Linked DNA regions of Callithrix jacchus. The protein of the gene in region 5 purifies or fractionates together with the protein of the main gene of each other region. This does not show direct contact. Links are inferred from orthologs where the notes say so. Each region holds a gene or a part of one and is shown on either strand. Other genes may lie near its edges.

What was found.
Region 1: the proteins of STK24 (region 5) and SLMAP purify together in Homo sapiens (affinity purification with mass spectrometry; 6 studies listed by BioGRID and IntAct, with this or other methods). This does not show direct contact. The link is inferred for Callithrix jacchus from reciprocal best matches to the Homo sapiens genes STK24 and SLMAP.
Region 2: the proteins of STK24 (region 5) and PPP2R1B purify together in Homo sapiens (affinity purification with mass spectrometry; 3 studies listed by BioGRID and IntAct, with this or other methods). This does not show direct contact. The link is inferred for Callithrix jacchus from reciprocal best matches to the Homo sapiens genes STK24 and PPP2R1B.
Region 3: the proteins of STK24 (region 5) and CTTNBP2 purify together in Homo sapiens (affinity purification with mass spectrometry; 3 studies listed by BioGRID and IntAct, with this or other methods). This does not show direct contact. The link is inferred for Callithrix jacchus from reciprocal best matches to the Homo sapiens genes STK24 and CTTNBP2.
Region 4: the proteins of STK24 (region 5) and PPP2CB purify together in Homo sapiens (affinity purification with mass spectrometry; 5 studies listed by BioGRID and IntAct, with this or other methods). This does not show direct contact. The link is inferred for Callithrix jacchus from reciprocal best matches to the Homo sapiens genes STK24 and PPP2CB.
Region 6: the proteins of STK24 (region 5) and SIKE1 purify together in Homo sapiens (affinity purification with mass spectrometry; 4 studies listed by BioGRID and IntAct, with this or other methods). This does not show direct contact. The link is inferred for Callithrix jacchus from reciprocal best matches to the Homo sapiens genes STK24 and SIKE1.

What each region holds. Positions count from the first base shown.
Region 1 is NC_133516.1:39,559,933-39,563,444, forward strand, and holds the start of SLMAP (sarcolemmal membrane-associated protein), read left to right. Parts: upstream 1-1,500; 5' UTR 1,501-1,854; coding exon 1,855-2,052; intron 2,053-3,512. Other genes in the region: uncharacterized protein LOC144579547, read right to left, coding at 511-1,500. UniProt on the Homo sapiens protein: Associates with the striatin-interacting phosphatase and kinase (STRIPAK) core complex, forming the extended (SIKE1:SLMAP)STRIPAK complex.
Region 2 is NC_133511.1:11,467,480-11,471,463, forward strand, and holds the start of PPP2R1B (serine/threonine-protein phosphatase 2A 65 kDa regulatory subunit A beta isoform), read right to left. Parts: upstream 2,801-3,984; 5' UTR 2,780-2,800; coding exon 2,666-2,779; intron 1,841-2,665; coding exon 1,750-1,840; intron 1,355-1,749; coding exon 1,254-1,354; intron 1-1,253. UniProt on the Homo sapiens protein: The PR65 subunit of protein phosphatase 2A serves as a scaffolding molecule to coordinate the assembly of the catalytic subunit and a variable regulatory B subunit.
Region 3 is NC_133512.1:88,462,301-88,466,445, forward strand, and holds the start of CTTNBP2 (cortactin-binding protein 2), read right to left. Parts: upstream 2,801-4,145; 5' UTR 2,775-2,800; coding exon 2,694-2,774; intron 2,383-2,693; exon of another isoform or gene 2,231-2,382; intron 1,762-2,230; exon of another isoform or gene 1,597-1,761; intron 1,593-1,596; exon of another isoform or gene 1,319-1,592; coding exon of another isoform or gene 1,292-1,318; intron 1-1,291. UniProt on the Homo sapiens protein: Regulates the dendritic spine distribution of CTTN/cortactin in hippocampal neurons, and thus controls dendritic spinogenesis and dendritic spine maintenance.
Region 4 is NC_133514.1:31,956,876-31,960,375, reverse strand, and holds part of PPP2CB (serine/threonine-protein phosphatase 2A catalytic subunit beta isoform), read left to right. Parts: intron 1-1,044; coding exon 1,045-1,163; intron 1,164-3,500.
Region 5 is NC_133502.1:14,170,682-14,174,181, forward strand, and holds part of STK24 (serine/threonine-protein kinase 24), read right to left. Parts: intron 3,421-3,500; coding exon 3,235-3,420; intron 699-3,234; coding exon 553-698; intron 1-552. UniProt on the Homo sapiens protein: Serine/threonine-protein kinase that acts on both serine and threonine residues and promotes apoptosis in response to stress stimuli and caspase activation.
Region 6 is NC_133508.1:152,756,826-152,760,325, forward strand, and holds part of SIKE1 (suppressor of IKBKE 1), read right to left. Parts: coding exon 3,402-3,500; intron 1,452-3,401; coding exon 1,350-1,451; 3' UTR 1-1,349.

The DNA.
Region 1 (3,512 bases), on a different chromosome or scaffold from region 5:
AGCAGAGGGGAGGATGGTCCTTCGGTTAGGCGAACATCCTAAGACTTGAGGGAATTTGGCTGCTCACACTTAAGGTGGCTGCGGGCGACTCTGTTGCCCACAGCTAAGATGGCTGCTTATGACCATCTCCTTTGGCCGCCTCTGCTTTTTGCTCACTAGTATTTTCATCGAGGATTAAAGCGAATAAAATTTAGCAAAGGTTGGCATCTCCTTTCCAAGTAGATAAAATAAGAAGGTGGCACGGTTTGTTTCGAAAATCTTCTAGCGCGCGAATTGTTCTTGCCCTTAACGAAAATGGTCGTTGTGGTTGTCCCGAGGTTTGAAGCTTCCAGCCCTTAAATAAGATGGCGCCTAGAGGCGCGTTAGAAATTAGCTTGCCCGTTTTTCTGCCCTCGACCAACACGGCTTCCGTGGCGTCGCTCACGTGACATTCCTGGACTACGGCGCGGGAGAGGGGGTAGGAGGGCCCTTGAAGGGAGCGCGTTCCCGTGGCGGTGTACCCGGTAGGTTTCAGTCAGAGTCACTATGGCGGCCGGCGCTGGCAAGGTAAGCTGAGGCGGCGGTGGCGGCTAGGGAGGTAGAACCCGTCGTGGCGTCCTGCCTCCAAATCCTCGCAGCCCGCTTGTGGAGAGGTCGGCGGAGGTCATGCCTAGCGGTGGGAGCTGGCGGGGGTCTGGCTGGAGGGGGCGAGGGCTGAGGCGGGCGGGCTGAGGCGCCTGACGGCCGTTTGTTTTGATATTTTCCCCACCAGGTCGGAAAGTTTCCTGCCTCGTCCGGCGCAGCTTGAGCTTGCTCCATTGGCCGTGATCGGTGGAGGCTGCGGCGGACCCAGCCCGGGGCCTCCAGGCCTCTCCCTAACCTCCGGGCCAGTCTCCCTCCCCCACCTTCTCGTCCGCCCGGAGCTGCGACTGCTGTCCCTGAGATGCGACCCTCGCGGGGGCGACCCTGAGGGGAGGCGGCCCATGTGCTGAGCGGCGGCGACCAGGAGCCCAGGCGTCCGGGGACCAACTTCCTGCCGCCCGAGAACCCGAACCTCCCGGTGTCGCGCCTCGCTCGGTCCGCACCGGCCTGCGGAGCCGGGTCCCCGCCCTGGTCGCGGGGACACCCGCCAGGTGCCCAGGAGTCCCGACTTGGCCACTGCTCGCGCCCCGCCGGCCCCCACGCCTCGCGCTGAGGACCCCAGGCACTGCCGCCTCGCCACGCCGGGGACCGAGTCCCCCTTCCCGGGGCGGCCTCCGCGCAGCAGGGGCGATGCAGACTGTCCCGCCGGCCGTTTAGAGCCCCTCCGCCTCCGTCACCTCTCGCCCTCCACTCCGGGCGAGCACGGGCGGTGGCTGCCCGGAGGTGCCCGGCCACACCTTCCTTCGGCCCAAAAGGACTTTCCTGGCCGCGCCGAACCACGACCCTTCCTTCATGCTGCAGTGCTGCAGCGTTTCCGCCACCGAGGGGGAAAAGCGGCCGCGATCTCAAACCAAACACAAGAATTGGAGTGTGACTCATCTGCTTGGATACCTCCAGTCCCCAAACTGTGCTCCAGGAGTTTTCTTGGCCGAAGCTGCCCGATGTTTGAGCCGTTTCTTCCCAGAGAGGAAGATGGACTGAAAGCTGCCCGTTGGGGACTTTTCGTGATTAGGGCACTGCTGGGTTTTGGAGGAGGTGATGGGGCTTGCGCTGGCTTGTCTTCCCACCCAAGTGAAGAGTTGTTGATGTTCACTGGTTATGCATAGACAATGTGCAGTTTGTTTTAATTTAAAATTTTGGGTGGGATAGGGGTATAGGCTTGTGAAGGGCAGCCCGGATCCGGAGGAACTCCTCTTTGTCCCTGGTAGGAGAGACACCCCAAGCCTATCCTCGATGCCGTCAGCCTTGGCCATCTTCACTTGCCGCCCAAACTCGCACCCGTTTCAGGAGCGTCATGTCTACCTGGACGAGCCCATCAAAATCGGCCGTTCAGTGGCCCGCTGTCGACCAGCGCAGAATAATGCCACTTTTGATTGCAAAGTGCTGTCAAGGAACCACGCTCTCGTCTGGTTTGATCACAAGACAGGCAAGGTAATGTCACCACCACATTGTCCAACTGCATTGTTTAACAAACTCCTCCCCCACCCCACCTTTGCCCTCCCTGAAAGGCCTGACTTTTGCAGGATCCCAGGCTTTGCATCCACAGGAGGCTTTGCGCAAAGCCAGGAATCAACTGTTTGTGTGCCTGGTTCTAGTGGAAATTTGATTGAGGTGGTTGAATGGAAAACAGAGAAGGTATTGTAATTAAAAGCCTCAGGAGAGCTATGGCATCTTGATAACGTAGTCATTCCCAGAGAAATCCCAAACTAGATTGTGAAACTTGGCGTCTTGCTTTCAGTCTGTTGAGAAAGGTGAATTCACAGTTCAGCTCTTTATTAAGCAAGCAGCAGTTCTCAAAGCAATTCGGGGAATCCGTGGCCATTATTACCCTGGTGCTCAGGTGTCTTTGTGGTGAAATGTAGTTAACACATAGCTTTAGTTGAGTTCAGATCAAGACCTTTCTAAGTAAGGACAGTTGCTGGTGTAAACCTAAGATTTTTGAAAGGTTTGCTATATACTTGCTCTTGAAGGAATCATTTGCAATAATCAAAGCTAATTTAATTAAGCATGAGAACTGTACTTTATATATATTGAGAGTTTTTTTTACAAGTTGGTTGCACATACATATATTGCATTTGAAAATCACTTTTTGATGTTCCCTGCAGCACTTATTAAGTACTTATTGCATACTTACAGAGGTGCTATGCAAAAGTTAGTGTTAGGAAGTGAACTTATTTTCTGAAATTACACCCTAGTCTTTCAATTATAGTGTTACTTAAATGTGATAGGATGAATTCAGTGCTTTTCATTTTAAGTGTAACCATTTTTAGCATTTTTGCGTTAGTATCATGACTTACTATACATGTATGAGCTTTTAAGAATGAAGAAAAAAGATAGGATCATTTCCATTTTTAAAAACTATTTATGTTTGTGGAGAGTATACTAAAGAGCTCGTCTTAGTGCCTAAACCTCAGGTTTTTAGCCGAGCTACTGAATCAGTTCCAACTTTAAGTTATGTAAGACTAATAGGACTGTCTCAGGTTTCACCTCCTGACTTTTTGCCCCTTCTTTCTGAGTTAAATAATTAAATCTTTCTTAAAGGAAGAACTTAAGTCTTCAAGAATATGTTTTGAAGTGAAAGAAACCTGAGCCTCAAAAGGAAGAGAAAAAAATGATAACTTTGGCAGCTACTGATTTAAGGAAATATTTTATTATTTTTTAAAGAAAGGAGGAAAAGACTGTCCGAGTTATGTGTGCTCCATAATATCTATATTGTGTGTGTAGCATGAGAACTGAAGAGTATGTTAACTTTTCTGTGTAACACCAGTTCCTCATTTACCTGTGGAACAGACCCTTCCCCCAAGCTGGTTAGGGGTGCCTAAAATACTTCATAGATTACTTGATATACATATATATATTTTTTTTTTTTTTTTGACAGATTTTTACTTGCA
Region 2 (3,984 bases), on a different chromosome or scaffold from region 5:
AGATAGAAAAATATAGATCTCTCCATATATACACATTCATACTTATCTATTAATCAATCTACCTCAGGAGTTCCATGGAAAAGTCAGAGCTAGAGATCGAAATTGCGAGAATCGTATTACATACCCAGTACTGAAAGCCCTGAAGCATACATCCTACTTTGTCCAACTGTTGAATTCCTGGTCATCTTTTAAAACCCAGTTCAAACATCATCTCCCAAGAGGTCTTTCCTGATCACCCTGAGTTAATCCCTTTCTCCCCTTTATTATGTGGGTATTTTGTAGATACTTCTATCTTTCCATATAAGACTGCACAGTAATTATTTGCTGGCACATAAAAGCAGGGACCTCATTCCATTTACTTTGGTGGTAATTTTTATTTATTTATTTTTTTTGAGATGGAGTTTCACTCTTGTTACCCAGGCTAGAGTGCAATGGCGCGATCTCGGCTCACCGCAACCTCCGCCTCCTGGGTTCAGGCAATTCTCCTGCCTCAGCCTCCTGAGTAGCCGGGATTACAGGCACACGCCACCATGCCCAGCTAATTTTTTGTATTTTTAGTAGAGACGGAGTTTCACCATGTTGACCAGGATGGTCTCGATTTCTTGATCTCGTGACCCACCCGCCTCGGCCTCCCAAAGTGCTGGGATTACAGGCTTGAGCCACCACACCCAGCCTGGTGGTCACGTTTTTTTTTAAGAGATAGGGGTCTCACTACGTTGCCCAGGCTGGATTCAAACTCCTGGGCTCAAGTGATCCTCCCATCTCAGCCTCCTGAGTAGCTGGTACTATACAGGCTTGTACCACAAGCCCACTCACATTAACACTGCAAATTAACGATGTGTCTGATAAAGCAGACTCTCAATAAATGTCAATTAAATTGAACTAAATTCATCAAACTCACAAAGTCAGAAGCAAAAGTTATACTGAGAAAGACAAAATGCCACTAGATGAGAATTAAGACTTTCAACCTGGGGGGAGGGGAACCATAAAAACAATCAAATCCTTTTTCTCCCTACATCTAAACTAATACGTATACAGACACAGAAGGACAAAGTTATCTTATTCATAGAAAAAAAAAAAAAGAATGGGTTGAGTCCAAAATGCTTACATTATTTATTCTCTCAGTGACTAACATTATGATAATCTGCCCATAAAAGATCTGTATAAAAAATGCTGCAGTATGCCTGTCACGAAACAATGTATCATTTATACTGCAAAAGTTCTGGAAGGAGGGTAAGCAGCAGTATACTCACCAGCAGACAGTGGGCAAAGTCAGGACCTCCCACTAGGCCGGTGAAATTTCCCAGCTGCTCAGCAAGAGCTAATAGTACCTCATCTTCATCATAAATTGTATCTGGAAGTGACAACAACAGGGACTCATCAACACAGCTCTCCCACAGCAGCCGTACACTGACGCAAAACTAGGACCAGATTCACTATGCAACCAGTAAGGTGGCCCAGTCAAAATCCTAACAGCATTTTCTTCCTTCTCCTCAATCAACTCTCTTCCTAGATCTGTTTTGCACAACAAATTGGAAATTCATATTCTCATAGCAATTACTTTCCCAATAGCTAAATGGTTATTGTTTGAATATATCTAGCCACAAGTAACAATATACTCTGTTCTGTTTCTTTTGCACATAAACCACCCGGCTCATTTTAATGTGGGTAACAAACTAAAAAAGTCAGTGTTGAAAGCTACTGGAAAATGGAATGTCCCTGCCTTTCTTTAAACAAAGGTTCACATACCTGTAAGGAATGGCAGCAATTCACTTCGTGTCCTTTCTACTCCAAGTGCTAGGGCAATTGTTGATAACTTCTTAATACTGTTGAGTCGGAGCTTCAGAAAAGGAGAAAGAAAATCAATGTAAAGAAACGGTTAAATTTAGATCAAAAGACAAAAGGTGCTAACAGGTGAAACAATGACACGGGTAAGAATGAGGATAACTAACATTTCATTTACATTTCACTGTTAAGGGACTTCCAAGAGGAATGTAACTCGGTCTCACTAGCCAGCGGAAGATTTCCTAGGAGAAACACTCAGAAGGCCCCGGAAGAGAAATGAATGAAAGATAATACAACACCCAGGAAGTAAGATAATTTTTAAAAGAGGGCACTTTGGCAGTGGTGAAGCAGGTGAAACGGTCGAATACAACGCCTGTCGTTTCAAAGAAAAGTTCCCGTAAAGCTGATACGACACGTCCAGGTTGATCGGCAATCCCACCTCCTCTTTCTACCCAACAAGCCGAGCCAGTTCTAGGCCGAGACGAAGGGATTCCGGGACACTTCAAAGGGCTTCTGCGCATCCTGCGCCCTCAGTCGCTCCAGCCCGGTCTCGGCCCCGCACCGCGCTCCTCCAGCTGCCTCACAGCCCGAAGCGGGGCGGCCCAGGCGGGAAGCGGGTTCCCGGACAACCGCCCTGGAAAGGCCAGGCTCCGGGCGGACGCCTCAGGGGGTCCGAAGCAGGGGTACTGGAGCGGTCACCGGGAGAGTCGGGGCGTGCCACCACGTCCCCTCGCGGATCTTTCCTCGCCTGCCCTTCCAAGTTTCTGCTGAGTCCGGTTCAATCAGTCCCCCGGCCATAGCCACCGCGGCACAGGCCTTCCCCCTTCTCTACCACGCGACCGACCGGGCCCACCTCGGCTCCCCGGGCTCAGTCCAGTACCTGCACGTCTTCATTGCGGAGCTCGTCGATTAAAACCGCGACAGGGTATAGCGAATCGTCTCCACCTCCGCCGGCTGCTCCCGGGCAGGTCCCGGGCCCCGCTGCGCCCGCCATGTTCTTTCTCCTCCTACTGCTGGTCACCGCCTCCCGCCCCGCGCCCAGGCCCCGCCCCGCGCCCAGCCCCCGCCCCGCTCCCAGGCCCCGCCCCGCGCCCTGGCAGGAGGGACTAAAGCTGCCACGCGAGTTGAGCCGAGGTTGAGGAGCTGAGTTTCTGTCCCGATGATTAAGGCTCCCTTCCGACCCCCAATGCAGGAGTTGTAGGTCTGAACTCAAGAAGATGGGTGGACTGAGAAAGCGAATGGAACCCCTGCGTCCTTTCCCTAGCCGAAAGAAACAGGGACAGTGATTCATCCGGCTCGTCTGAAGGGGCCAGGGACCTACCTGGGTGATCCGCGCTGTGCCCTCTTAAGACTCAGGCGGACCAAAGAGAGTGCCCGAGGCCAGGAGGAAGAAGGCTTTAGCACCTCCCCTGACTGCATCCTGGCACTGAGCCACAGGATCTCCAGCCCTAATTACTCAGCTCAGCCTCAAGCTTCCACAGAACCCCTCCACCTCTTCCCTCGGCCTGTTCTCCAGAATGGTATCTGGCTCCTGCTCCATAAGACAAATAACGCGGGCGGTGAGAGAAAATGAACAGTGCTGTCCAAACTCCCCAGTCAATATTTTTTCCACGCAAGCTGTTAAAAACATGCTGCTCTCTTGTTTTTGTGTTTCTTTTCAGTTTGGTACTGGAATGGTGCCTTCTGTTGTATTTTCTTCCTCCCATTTTTCAGCTCTTTAGCATGCTAGAAGTACAACAATGAAGCAAAACTAGGACAAGCTTTAATCCTTCCAAACTGGGTGGGGTGGCTACTTTGCTTGAATAAGAAAACCCAGACTGGCCTCCCTAAACCCCCAAGAGTCCTCAGAGGCAGCAAGGGGAAGAAGTGGAGATCTGGGAGCTCCTTCTTACAAAACTGAATGGCAAGTTTTCACCTACCCGTGTCAGGGCAGCACAGAATAACTAGAATGTCCTTTTTGTTTGTTTTAGACTGGAATTTAAGCAGCTTGGAGTGATAACTACATATGGTGATCGCAAGTTCTGAAATGGTAATTCTATGTGCCTGATTAATAAAATTAAAACTATTAATGCAGTGTGTAGGAGGCAAACTTTTTTAAAACATGGGGCTCTGAGGCTGAGGCGAGTGGATCACTTGAGGCCAGGAGTTCAAGACCAGCCTGGCCAACTTGGTGAAACCCCCATCTATACTAAAAAAACA
Region 3 (4,145 bases), on a different chromosome or scaffold from region 5:
ATTATTTGGTGACAATAAAAAGTATGAAGATTTCTGTTTTCCATACTGCCTTATCCATTAGGAGTTATTTTCAGAGTAGAAACAGCAATATGGCCTATAAAAGTCATCACATTTGGCTAAGGCACTGAAAATAACCCAGGTTTCCCGGCATGGTTCATGGCAAAGACTATTAATACAGTCCTACTAAATAATGTAACTGTTACCCAGCTTTAAACTTGGTATGCTTTTAGGATTTAAACAGCTAAGAATGAGGATCACAAACTAAATTTAAAACATTCCACTAAAAATGATATTAAACTGAAAACTATAAATTAAGCTTGTTTCTAAGCAACAATCTAAATAGTCAAAGCTTAGTGAAAACACTGACTTTCAAAAATAGCCTACTGCTTCAGAGCTTCCATTGGCTCCTTACTGCCAAATGTATACATAAAAATGTACAATATGTAAACTGATTTGAAATTAAATAAATCTCCAAAATGCAAAGTGAATTGTTCACTAAAATAAAAATTAAGTTCTCAGTCAACAAGAACCCAACGTGCATTAAAACGCCTTTGATTTTTAAGGAGCAACTGTGATGACACATATCACTCCTCTACACTAGCTTTCCTTTCATTTCAAAATTAATCTACAAGTCAAGTGGCTGATATGAGAGAACCATGCCTTATTAAGTCAAAACTGGAGAAGTAAAATAAAATGCCCAATTTACTACATAAGAAGACATCATCGAAATTTTACTAAAATGTCAGAAGTTTATTTCTTTTTAACTACTAGATGAAGAATCCTTATTGCATCTGGCAACCCTAAAGGATTCTACGGAAATAGCAAAGAAGGTTCACTTTCGAAGATTTTCCATGGCTCTGCCCATTAACAAGGGTGAAATTATCAAATCCCCAAATATCAGCAGTGAAAATCAGACTTGAAAATTTTAAACGGCAGAGAGGGAACACTGACCTTGTTAACACAGAAATCTTCCTGGCGACCAAAGTTTTGTTTATGATCTAACTAAACAAAACTATATATCAGCTCTACAGACCATCAATCAGATGTTTGTGTTTGGGTTAATTGTCAGGTGATTAAAATAGAGGGTAATAGAAAGAAACCCATTCTAAGTAGATTAAGTAAACAAATTAAACCTGGGGAACAAGAAACACACCCCTACACACACCCACACACCCCTGCACGAACCCCTGCGCGCGCACACATCACACCTGCACACACACCCCTACACAGGCACCCCTACAAACACACACACACCTCGCACCCTCTTTTTCCTCTTTCTTCTCCTTCCCACCTTTTGGGGATGAAGGCACCAAATCATTTCCACTTCCCCGAGAGCCTTGTCTTAATAGCTAGTTTCCTTACTGTGCCCCACAGAGGGGAGCTGATTCACGTTAAGTGGCCAGGTTTCGTTGGAAATCTTAAAGCTCTGATTTCACAAAAGTTCGTTTTCCGAAAAGTTCAAATCAAAACTTGCCAGTTTTACAAGTGGAAATCAGCAGTCCTCCTCCCCCTGTTTCTCCCTCCACTCCCAGGCTCAGTTCCTCTCACCCCAAGTACCTTCCTCCACATCTCTCTTCCCTCTCCAGAAAGCCCTACCTCCAGAGGGTGGGAGGAAGTTAAAGCGGCCCTGGTTGTTTATGCCTGGCCCTGCCCTCTCCCGCTTTTGCACGGACTCTGCTCAGGTCTTGAGAGGAAGGGAGGGGGCGTCTACGCCCCGCTCGCTCCAACCCACCCCGATCCTCCGGCAAGAGCAGCTAGATCGGGCCAAGAGTGGGAGGCGCTCACAGATCTGCCTTTCTCTGCAGATCCTTGCAGCTCCTGCGAGGCTGCTTCCCAAACACTGAGAACGTTTTCCACCAGGGAAATGTGGGTCCAGCCCTCCCCCAAGGTAGAGGCTGGAAACCACCAGTGAGTATCTGCCCGGAGATATTCAGGGGGTGAAAGTGAGGACCAGTTATAAATGGTAGCGCATTGGCCTTCTAGACCCCAAAGAAGGAGAACAATGTCTTGAAACCAGGTGCAGAACCTCCACCTCGCCCGGGCATTGCCTCGGGAAGAACCAACCCCTTCACCCCACTCCAATCACCACCACCAAGTGATGGGGTAGCAGGCTGCTAGGACCTAAAGCGCTGGCCTCAGCGGCAGCAGCGCCAACAGCTGGACACGGGGTCTCTCCCAAAGGGCCTCCCGAAGGCACCGGAACAGATGCACACAATGGGCATCCCCACACCTGCTGGGCGATGGCCCGCCTCCCCCTCGAAGCTCTCCCAGGTCCGCTGAGAGGTACCAGGCACCCGCGAGACACGCGCTCGCAACCATGCGCGCAGCGAGAGGTGAACAATGGGGGGTCAAATTCGCCAGGAAACCCGTCCCAGCCTTCGCCCCCCGCCAGAATCCACCGCAGCGGAGGGAGTGGGCGAAGGGGTCGAGTGGGACGCACGCAGGAGGCTGGGAGAACCAGGCGACCTGGGGTCGCTCCCCAGGGGCGCGGAAGGGGCAGAACGGAGCCCCAGCCCGGGTGGCCGCTCCGCTCCCACCGGCATCGCCTTGCGGGCACCCCGAGGAAGGGGCACCCGAGGGTCCCGGGCTTACAGAACGCCCCGGCGGTGCGGAGCCCGGTCCAGCTGGGGCCCCGGCGCCGCCCCCTGCCCGCGTCTACACTCGCCCCACACCCGCCCCGGGAACTCGGTTACCGCCGCCTCCGCCGCTGCCCCCGCCGCGTCCTCTGGAGCCCGGGACAAGTCGGGCTCGCAGCTCGCGCCGTCAGTCGCCATCTTCCTGCTCTAGCGGATCCGAATGCGAGCTCGGAGCCGCGGCTCCGGACTCAGCCCTCTCCGCGCGGGCGGCGCTTAACCCGCTGCTGTCCGGGACGCGGGCTCCGGGAGCCGGGCGCAGGGAGCCGAGAGTCGCCGAGCTCTCTCCGCCCCTCGCCGCCGCCCTCGCCGCTTAACCCTCTGTGCGCCGGAGCGCCCCGCCTCGGTCCCGCCCCGCGCCCTGCTGGGCCAGCCGCGGGCTTGTGGAGGTGCGAGAAATGGGCGCACGACCTGACTCCGCTGCGGTTCTGCGCACTGGCTAGGGATCAAAGACCAGGGAAGAGGTGAAGGGAGAAAGCGTGCCGCAGAACCCCCACCAAGCCCGAGAAATCCTTGCACAGACCGGATTAAATGTCAGGCCTCCTGAAACTGAATTCTCTGAAAGATCAGGGAAAATCCTACACTTCAGCTCCCTCTATCCCGCCCCGAGGAATCACACAAGGCACCCCTTTCTTCTTAAATTGCTTTCTTAAATTTCACCGCCGCCAGGGTGTTTTTACCCTCCCAATGTATGTGTATATACACCTGGCTCTGATTTACTTACTCTATCTTGACTCTAGTCCTTCTCCAAAAACAGTCCTCAGATGAAAACGATGTGTCTGTTCTGTTTTCTTTTAGTGCATGGCACTGGCCCCTCAGCACCTAACTCTGTAATCTCCTTTTCAGGGAACTTGTATCTGGCTGTCTTATGTTCTTTGACCCCTCAAGTCTGAGGTCTCTTCTGAAGGACTAACCAAGAAGTGTTAAATGTCATAGCTTTAAAAGCTAAATGTTATGCCCTCTACTTTTGAGAGTTTAAAAAAATTATTCCCTACGTGTGAGGATACGTGTACGTATACACAAAAAACAATCAAAAACCATCTTTGTAAACTTAGATTTTATGGGAATTACCCAACTCAGAAGACTTTTCATGAGGTGAGTGAATTAGGCCCAAACACTCAGACTTCCCTTCCCACATCTAACTCATTTCCTACCCTTTGCTGCCAATTTCCAGAATGTGAAAATCTATCACCTTACCAAGACCATATGGTACAGCCCTTCCCAAATCACCAGATCCCTAAAAATGTGTCGAATGCATAAAATCAAATTGAGACATTCAAGCTTTGTCTCAAAAAAGTAAAATCAAACCACAACCAAATCCTGCACTTGAAATTCTGGAAGATGAATGACTGGAATGTTCAGTCCAAGAGTTACAGATCAAAGCTTTTTTTTTTTTTTTTTTTTTTTTTTTTTTTTAATGGCAGGTCTTAATGAAAGATTTTGAGAATTTAATTGCTCCACTTTCCAAATTGGATCTAAATATGACACAAACCCGGGCAGAGAAAACCTTTT
Region 4 (3,500 bases), on a different chromosome or scaffold from region 5:
TGGGCAACATAATGAAACCTCATCTCTCTAAAAAAAGTCAAAACCTTAGCTGGGCATGGTGGCATATGTCTGTTGTCCCAGCTACTTGGGAGGCTGAGGTGAGAGGGTCACTTAAGGCCAGGAGGTTGAAGCTGCAGTGAGCTATGATCATACCACTGCACTCCAGCCTGGGCAACAGAATGAGACCTTGTCTCAAGAAAAAAAAAAAAAAGACACCACAAACTGGAGGTAACAGTTAGAAAATGGTGTGTTAGTGTATAAAGTAGATAATCAAAATAGCAAATAGGCCAGGTGCGGTGGCTCATGCCTGTAATCCCAGCACTTTAGGAGACTGAGGTGGGCGGATTACTTGAGCTCAGGAGTTCAAGAGACCCCGTCTCTACTACTAAATACAAAAAATAAGCCTAGTGTGGCGGCATGCGCCTACAGTCCCAGCTACTCAGGAAGCTGAGGCAGGAGAATTGCTTGAACCCGGGAGGCGAAAGTTGCAGTGAGCCTAGATCACACCAATTCACTCCAGCCTGGGCCATGGGGGGGGGGGGGGGCGGGGTGTGTGTGTGTGTGTGTGTGTGTGTGTGTGTGTGTGTGTGTATGGATGAGATAGGTTCTGATAAAAGGCATTGTTAGAAATAAAAAGATTATTGATGAAAACTGGCCCAGTTCTCTAGGGAGAAAGTATTTTAAATTTGTGTTTACCTAGTAGTAGCTTCAAAATATATAAAGCAAAAATTGACATAAGGGAAAATTAAGAAATGTATTATGATTTTGGGAAAAAATTTAGTACACAGCCTTGCCAAGATCTCAAGCATAGATAAGGCAAAACAACAATAAGCGAGCTGCATTTAACAAAACCCTGGGCCCAAGAATTGCACAGCATTCTGTATAGGTACACAAACTGTTAAAGATGGAGCCCTCATAAACTAATGTAGACCGACTACATTTCCACAGAGGGTACTTGTAGTTTTTGAATTTAGTTTTTTTAAATGTGTTTGTGTCAGAATCCTAATACTGTAATGAAATGTTGAATTTGTTTTTATACTGCAGGGATACAATTGGTGTCATGATCGGAATGTGGTTACCATTTTCAGTGCACCCAATTACTGTTATCGTTGTGGGAACCAGGCTGCTATCATGGAATTAGATGACACTTTAAAATATTCCTTGTGAGTAACTGTAAATTTTAATTGTATATACTTAATTTCAGAAGGAAAATTTTAAATGTTAGAAATAGATTTCTGCTTCTGAAATGGTAGGATAAGGGCAAATGCCCTCCCCAGCAAAAACAGCCATTGGCTGGAGAATATTATTTTAAAAATAATTTTTCAAAGCTTTTGGAAATTGTCCTAAGGGCATATCGTAGATGGAGAAACAGTTAATTCAAAAAGACCTACTAAATCTCAGTAATAGTAATAGTAGTCTTAGCATTTGAGCTATGACTTGCTCCCTCCAAATCCTCCCAGATTCCTCTCACAGAAATGACTACAGGTGCTCTACTCTGGGTGGGTATAGTCAGGAAGCTAAGGGATCCCCCTCTTCACCCAGTGTTGGAGCTGTGGTTTCACTCCCAGAGATCAGATGCCAGCTCTCTTAGTCTGGAGTTACCGAAGCTCTACTCCTGGTAGATGCCATCAAGCAGGCTGAGGCCCCCTCCCTGACCCAGCTCCTGAACCAGAAGCTGTGCTCCAGGCATGGACGGCAGATGAGAATCCTGGGTTTCCCAATGCTGTTACCCTAGCACCTGCTCATAAACCAGATGGTATCCCTGAGTACACAGTGGCACAGAAGTTCTGCTCAGGAGGAAAGTCAGGTCACAGAAGTTCTTCAGCTCTGCCTTAGAGGACTTACCTTACTTAGATGATGGAGAATTCCAAATCTGAGTGCTTTGTGGCAAACAGTGGATGTCATGGTGGAGACCAATTAAAAGGGCTGTTATAGCACCTATGATACTAGGAGCGACATGCAAAAGAGCAGAGCAACAAGTTCTTCAACAGATAGCACCAGGGAAAAAGCCAAGAAAAGCCCTTCTGGGATTACAGTCATCTCTGGGGGACAGGAAGGCTGTGCACAGGCACTAGCCATAGCCACTCAGGAGCAGTCAGAGTAGGATGTGGGTTATTCTGTGAGATTCTCAAGCCAGACATAGATTGTACTGAGTTGAATAATGTCCCCCCAGACATAGATTGTACTGAGTTGAATAATGTCTCCCCCAAAAGAAAAAAATTTCATATCCACCTAGAACCTGAAAATGAGATGCTATTTAGAAATAGGATCTTTGCAGATATAATTATTAAAGATTAGATTATACTGGATTGGAGTGGGCCTAAATCCAATCCGAATGGCATTTTAGTAAGACGAAAAGAAACACACAGGGGAGAATGCTGTGTGAAGCCAGAGATTCAAGTGATGCATCCACCAGCCAGGGATTGCCAGAGCCACCAGAAGCTGGGGAGAGGCTAGGAAGGATTTTTCCTAGAGCCTTCAGAGAGAGCATGGCCCTGACAGCACCTTAGTTTCAGAGTGGTAGCCTCCAGAACTCTGAGAGGATAAATCCCTGTTGTATAAGCTGTACAGTTTGGTAATTTGTTATGGCAGCCCTGGGGAATGGATAAGTAGACTGATCAACAAATGGTGTAACCCTCACTGGTGTGTGAGACTTAAACACAACCTCTAATCATTGACTGAATAATCAATTACTCCGACCCAGGGGCACCTCCTAGGAAGCCAGGCTTTAAAATAAAATCACCGTCATCCCTGACAGTCTGGCAGCATATGTGCATGCCCAAGGTTACATCCTCTCTGGACTGAGTGGAAAAGGACGATCCAAGCTATTAGTCCCTGGCTGAATGGGAAGCCAAAATGTAAACTCCTTCAGCTTCAATAGCAATCTGCAAGTCACATAACATTTCCAGTGGTCATTAGGGTGAGCTTTAAGATCTAACTGGCCAAGGGAACTTAAGTACAACCTTTATCAGTAAGTGGCTTATGCGCGTACCCAAAGACAGCCTCTCAGTAACCAGGCTGAAAGATTAAAACAGGCCAGGTGCAGTGGCTTATGCCTGTAATCCCAGCACTTTGGGAGACCAAGGCGGGCAGATCACCTGAGGTCAGGGGTTCAAGACCAGCTGGACCAACATGGAGAAATTCTATCTCTATTATAACTACAAAATTAGCCTGGCATGGTGGTGCCTGCCTGTAATCCCAGCTACTCGGGAGGCTGAGGCAGGAGAATCACTTGAACCCAGGAAGTGGAGGTTGCGGTGAGCTGAGATCACACCATTGCACTCCAGCCTGGGCAACAAGAGCAAAATTCCATCTGAAAAAAAAAACCCCCAAGTAAAAACATCTGAACAGGGCTGCAGGGGCTGTACACTGTTGGGGAAGTGGACTTAACAGCTAAGGCACTAAACAAAAATTAAAATAAACCACCAAAAAAACAAGATCAGTCCCCAGTGACCTGAATTCCAGAGTTAACTGCAATATATTATCTTTAATGTCCCATT
Region 5 (3,500 bases):
ATGAGTTCCCAGGCTCCCACTTCCTGACACATCCCTGGCCCGACTGCCTCCCCAGCCTTCCCCACACAAATGGCTGCAGCCCCACTTTGCCTCTGATGCCAAAGGAATTCCTAGATGCCGAACTTGAAAGCAGTTCTCCGTAAGTCACTTCCTGGTACAGAGCTTCTACCAGACTCAACAGGGAATCACAAAAACATGCATTTCTAGCCTTTCAGGTATTCATGTGATACAATTTCACCTTGTCAGGATTTTAAGAACATGAAGTGTAATGGAAAACAAGACAGAACAGAAAGAAACAAAACAGAACACAGTGAAACAGCCAGGTCTGGACCCCTACGCACAGCTCTAAGAGTTCCCTCGAAGAAACTCCACTGACAACATCAAGAGGCTAAATGATGCCCAAACAGGCCCATGCTGTGTCTAACACAACAATCGCCACCAACCTGGATTATCTGAAAAAAACTCAACAAGAAACGAAATGCACACCAAACAAGTGACAAGGACCAGCGGCTCCATCCTACACCATGCTTGGGCCACCCAGGGGCCACTTACGCATCAGAATCCTCAGAGCTTGAGTCCTCATGGCTCTGCTCCGCCTTCCATCTCTTGTACCTGTCGATGAGCTCGGTCAAGTAGGAAGTTTTCTTTGCATTGCGTAGGATAAACTTGTGCTTCAGTAACTCCCTAGCAGTGGGTCTCTGGAAAAACACACACAACAACCCAAGTATGAGATGAAGCTCTCCATCCCCGCCGAAAGGACACACTTCAGCCTCAAAACATCAGCCTGCCTGATGACTGGACTCCACTCCACAGCTCTTCTCACTGTGACTCGCCCCAAGATGAGAGTCTCAGGACCTACGCCTGGACTCCGGGTGCTGTGGTGGGCATGGCACTGAGTTTCCAAGGAGGTCCTTAATATTCTACAGGTAGCCATCCAATGAAAGCACAAGAACTTCCCCCAGATAAATGCACTTCCACAGAAAACTCTGCACAGAACTTCAGAGGGATTATTCATGAGAGCTTATCTCCTAATTTATAAAATACTTTATGACAAATGCTGACAAAATACTTGTTCTGTGTCGCTTTTACTTTTTGTTTGAGACAGAGTCTTGCTCTGTTGCCCAGGTTGGAGTGCAGTGGTGAGATCTCGGCTCACTGCAACTTCTGCCGCACAGGTTCAAGCGATTCTCCTGCTTCAGCCTCCTAAGTAGCTGGGGCTACAGGAATGTGCCACTACACCTAGTGTATTATTTCTATTTTTGCAGAGATGGGGTTTCACCATGTTGGCCAGGCTAGTCTCAAACTCCTGACCTCAGGTGATCCACCCTCCTCAGACTCTCCAAGTGCTAGGATTACAGGCATGAGCCACCGTGCCTGGCCGCTTTGTTAACTTTCTGTATTAATGTTTGACCACATCCAGACACATAATAGAAATGTCAATTTGGAATTATCTCAAAGAAACCATAAGGGAGCCAGCAGATGCCCTTTTTCCTGTCTGTTGAAAGAGCGGGGTGCTCTTCATCACCCACTGTCCCAGTTTAGAAAGGCTGTTGCCCAGGTCCCTCCCTTCCCTTGTTATTGGGCTGAGGACTTCACCCATGCCCTGAGCTCAGCATGGCCACCGCAAGCAGCACCCAGCCAGCTACCTGCCTTGAAGATGGTGACAGTGATAGGGAATGTGCTTCCCAAGGAAACCAGCTTGGCCCAAATTGGAACAGACAGAAGGAACACCCAAACCCCAAGTCAAACCAAGATCCCACTCACTCCAAACTACGAAAGCTTGATTACAAGAGTCAAGCACATTTTCAGATTCAAACTCGTGAGAAACCTGATCACCTCAGGTATTCTCCCTCTCTGTCCACATGAGGGTAAAACCCCAACTACCCCTGAGGTGCTCATATTCTCGCCTCTCAGCCGGCTCCTCAGTAGCTGTAGGGTGGAGCGGTGTGTGCTGGGGAATAAGCTCGTATTAGACGCATGCTGTGCATGGGAAGGCATGCCTGCAAGCGGCCGCATCTCCACCAGTGCATGGTGGGTGCAACAAACATCATCATGCAATAAAATGCAGAGCATCATGGCACGTGGGACAAGCCTCACCACTACCTCACGCTGATGGGGTGATCAATCACTGGCGTGGTGGTCTCCGGCTGCATCTCCTTAGAGGTGCTTAGAAAATGTTGCATTCTGGCCAAGCACGGTGGCCCACACCTGTAATCCCAGCACTTTGGGAGGCCGAGGCAGTGGATCACGAGTTCAGGAGATCGAGACCAGCCTGGCCAACAAGGTGAAACCACATCTCTACCAAAAATACAAAAATTAGCTGAGTGTGGTGGTGCACGCCTGTAGTCCCAGCTACTCAGGAGGCTGAGGCAGGAGAATCCCCTGAACCCAAGAGGCGGAGGTTGCAGTGAGCCAAGATCACGCCACTGCACTCCAGCCTGGTGACAGAGTGAGAATCCGTCTCAAAAAAAAAAAAGAAAATATTGCATTTCCCACTTAATTCCTTTACCAAAACCGGTGTATTAGAAAACCACGGTGCTCTTGTAAAAGTAACCACCCATTTTTAATTAAGAGTTAGGAAAAGGGGTGCTCAGATTGGCCTTCAGCTGGAAAACTCAAACAAATCAATGACATACGGTGCTGCATCCAACACCGACACACACTGACAACTTTCAAATAAATGTCCTAATTCAAAGAGAAAACAGGGCAAAGCCAGGCAGTCGTTACTGCTGTAAGGCTCTGCCAGAGTCCATTAAACCTAAAAAGAGAAGTGGGCAGGAAGAGGCGGGGATAGCAAAGAGGGGCTTGGTTGTATTTGTATTTTCTAATCTTTTGTTTCCTAACATATGCCATCTGGAAATTGAAAACATTTACTTTAAAGACATATTTAGCCACTTATTTCCAAGCTAAACTTTCCCATTCCTAAAAACAGTGTAACAGTTTATGGCCTGATCCTCTATCGATATTAAACTTTGATGATTCCACATTTAATATTAAGGAGAATATTCTTCAGATTCAATGAAGTATGAGATGGTAGAAATCTAAAGCAAAATAAGGAAATTGCTAATACTTATAAAATGTATTTGCAAACCAAAGAGGTCAATCATACTTATTTATAGAAAAAGAAAAATGAGGAATTCCATGAAGACAGCTGAAAAGAAATCCCAACAGGATGTATCTAAACCAAGTCAAAACTCACATAGGGAGGGATGTTCAGATCCCCAGGAAACTTACAAAGCTCGGCTCCTTATTCAAACAGGCCTCCACAAACTCCTTGAGGGGTTTGCTGTAGTTTCCTTCCAATGTTGGTGGGTTGTTCTTTGGAATGAGGAATAAAACTTTCATGGGGTGCAGCTCGGAATGAGGTGGTTCCCCTCTTGCAAGTTCAATAGCTGTTATGCCCAGGGACCAGATATCTGCCTGCAACAAGAAAAGCACCTTTACCAACACCAAGCAGGAATCAATTCCAATTAACAATATTTAGGGGAAAAACGGTAAAC
Region 6 (3,500 bases), on a different chromosome or scaffold from region 5:
TTTTTATCTCAATGTTGCCTACATAGCACTATGAGTGTAATAATTCTCATTAGGTAATAAAACTGCTTCCTTACCTTTGTATATAGCTTTAAAAAGAAAAAAAGCTACTTTTATGTAAAAAATAGACCTAAAAAGAAAGTCAACTATTAGTACTAGGAGTGAAAGGCATCTAATCCAAGTAAGTGACAGTTCTTAACTACAACATGGAAATTATATAAAAGTTAAAATAGAATGTAGAACTAGTAGGATAACATTGAAAAATTGACTCAGGGAGGCTGAAGCGAGTGGATCATGACATCAGGAGATCGACACCATCCTGGCCAACATACTGAAACGCTGTCTCTACTAAAAATCCAAAACTTAGCTGGGCGTGGTGGCATGTGCTTGTAATCACAGCTATTTGGGAGGCTGAGGCAGGAGAATCACTTGAACCAGGGAGTTGGAGGTTGCAGTGAGCTGAGATCGTGTCACTGCACTCCAGCCTGGCAACAGAGTGAGACTCTGTCTCAAAAAAAAAAGCTAAGAAAAATTGACTCATTATATTTGGGTTTTTTGATTTTCTTGTGTTTTTGGCTGATTGTATTTAATAAAAGCTAATTTTAGTATTTGAAATAAGTGCACTTACATGTGTGCATGCACATACACAAGACAAGTTCCTCAGCTTTGAACAATGTGAACTTTGAACAATGTATGACAACTATACTATCACTGGGGAAAAATATAGCTGACTTATTTCCAAGTATGTTTCCTGGGACTAGCAGTAGGTTCTCTCAAATTAAAAGCAAAGGCACCAGGCCATAAAGTGCCAATTCTTAGCACCAGAGAGACTTAAAACTTCACAGGCGAATGACATTACAAATCAGAGAATCAACTGATTTAGTTCTGTGGAATTGTATTATTTATATCAAATGAAAAAAAAAAGATAAACCAAGGTTTATGCCAAATAAATTTAAAAAGTTAAATCTCTCCTAAAATTTCCTAGGAGTGTATTTTACAATGCTATACATAATAAAATTGCTGGCTTATAAAAAAATGCTCAAAGTTTCAGAGATGTGAAAAATAACAATGAATTGAAAACACAGTTTATATAAATCAAGGTCCCAGAAATAAAAATTAAAAGTAGTCTCTTTGAGAAAGGAATAGTGAAATTCAGCATGTATCCACATTAATACATCTGAGAACCGTTTTCATGGACAGCAATATTGACTGGAAATTCTAAATTGCCACCTGATAACTGTAATCAAGGTTAAATCAAATCTGAGGCAAGACACTTAATGAACAGTACTTGAATGGGAAGATAGTAACTTCCTTCTTTGATAGACAATCTCCAGCCATCATTCAGAGCTCAGTTATTTGATGGCTTGTGAAGTGGTGTCCATTGAGTTTTCCTTTCTGGCTTGAAGAGACTCACTGCTGATGGACAATAATTCTCGAAGTTCCTTATTTTCAAGCTGGAAAAAAAAGGCATGTTTATTTCTGGTATTTTTTACTGTCAAACTGTGTTATAAAAACACATTATTTTGGGCCAGGAGCAAAAAACATTATTTTAATTAAAAAAATTTTAAGGAAACAAAAAGTCCACGAATTGAGAATTTCCTTAAATACTACTTATTTATTCATTTAACAAACATTTACATGTAGAATGTAGGCAATGATACTCTTTTGTAGTAGTAATTTACTGAGTAATTTCTATATACCAACTGTGAGGCTTGTAAAGGAAAAACAAAAAACAAGGTCCCTCTCCACCTGAGGAATTCACTGTTATATTTTTCATGGTTCCCACAGTTTTACTATTATTTATTTTATTTAAAAAATTCCTAATAATCATTTCACTCTGATTAGTCTCCACTCCTGGATATCTTACAGTTCTAGAGAAACGGAAGAAAAGGGGCTTATTAAGCATGTAGCTGGGTACTGCATGGGTGCACTGTATATGTTATCCCACAATAACCCGTAGGGTAGGGTATCATTGCCTACATCCATATTCTACTTAAGATGAGGATACTCTGTCTTACAAAATTCCAAAAAGTTGTCAAAATTCAGACAACTTGGATGTGATACTGCTGGGGTCTGAATGTGGTCATGTTTTTTCTACATGAAGTATTAAAGTAGAACTTGTCCCACATTTCCTTAGGGCTATTTCCATAAGTGAGGAAATTGGGGACAAATAGAAGGTCATTCTATCATTTCACTGGCTCCTAATTACTACTTGGGACCTGTCACTACCTTCGATTTCTAGACAGGGTAGCTTGCACTCTTCATCCTTATTCTCTGCAGAAAATTCTGGTAAACCAAAGCATTTTTAGCTTCACCAAGATGTGTGGAAGCCGCAGATAGAGTAACTAAGAGATTAGAGCCTGTAGTCGATAAATCTACCCCATGAAGTGCTTCCTTCAGTATTTGTATCTGTCTCCTAGCACTTACACATACTATTTCATATCATATAAGTACTAGGGTTATTCCTTCCACTAGACTCTGGGTAGGTACCTGTTTTTTCTCTCTGGTATTTGTCAAAAGGCCCAGGACAGCACCTTGTAATAAGCAGCACTCAAACCAGTAACTGAAATGCTTCGCTTTTTTTTTTCTTTTAAATTTTTGAGACGGTCTCACTCTGTCGCTCAAGTTGGAGTGCAGTGGTACATGTGATTGTGGCTCACTGAAACCTCGACTTCCTGGGTTCATGTGATCCTCCCACCTCAGTCGCCAAGTACCTGGGATTACAGGAGCACACCACCACACCTGGCTAATTTTCTGTATTTTTTTTGTAAAGACAGGGTCCCGCCATGTTACCCAGGCTGCTCTTGAACTCTTGGGCTCAAGCAATTCACTTGCCTTAACCTCCCAAAATTGAAATGTTTTTCCTTAACAATTTTATGGGCACACTATACCCCAAACCCTTTTTTGTAACATATTCCTATTCTAATCAAAATATGACATAAGCATAGCTTTTAAGAAATCAAGACTACATGGCTTATACAAGCGGTTCTTTGGCTTTGCACCCCAAATGCAACCACTATTTTATCTATTTCTTTTGGTATTTAATTCATAATTCTAAATAATACATTTATACTGCTATTTCCTGATCAAAGATTTTAGTTAGGTATTACCTATTTCCCTTCTTATTATGGCAGATGAGGATTTTATCTCACATATAACTTCTCCCCTCCACTCCCACTACCTTCGCATGATATCTCAACTTCTTGCCAATACATAGTTGGTATTTCCTTTGATTGCTGTTTACTATATTTTCTTTCTTCATAGGGTATGAAGGAGGAGTTTTAATTTTAAATCATAAACACACAGAAAACATCAATATATTACAGTGATAGGACAGTGAGGGTGTATCTTCCAGACTCTGGAAACTCTGAAATACTGTGAACCCAAAATGACAACAATCTTACCTCTAATTGGGCTAATTTTTCCTGAATCTTACAAAACTGGTCATCATCCACCTGAACTGCTTTCCTCATCACTTCTCCCATTTCACAGATTCTGTCAAT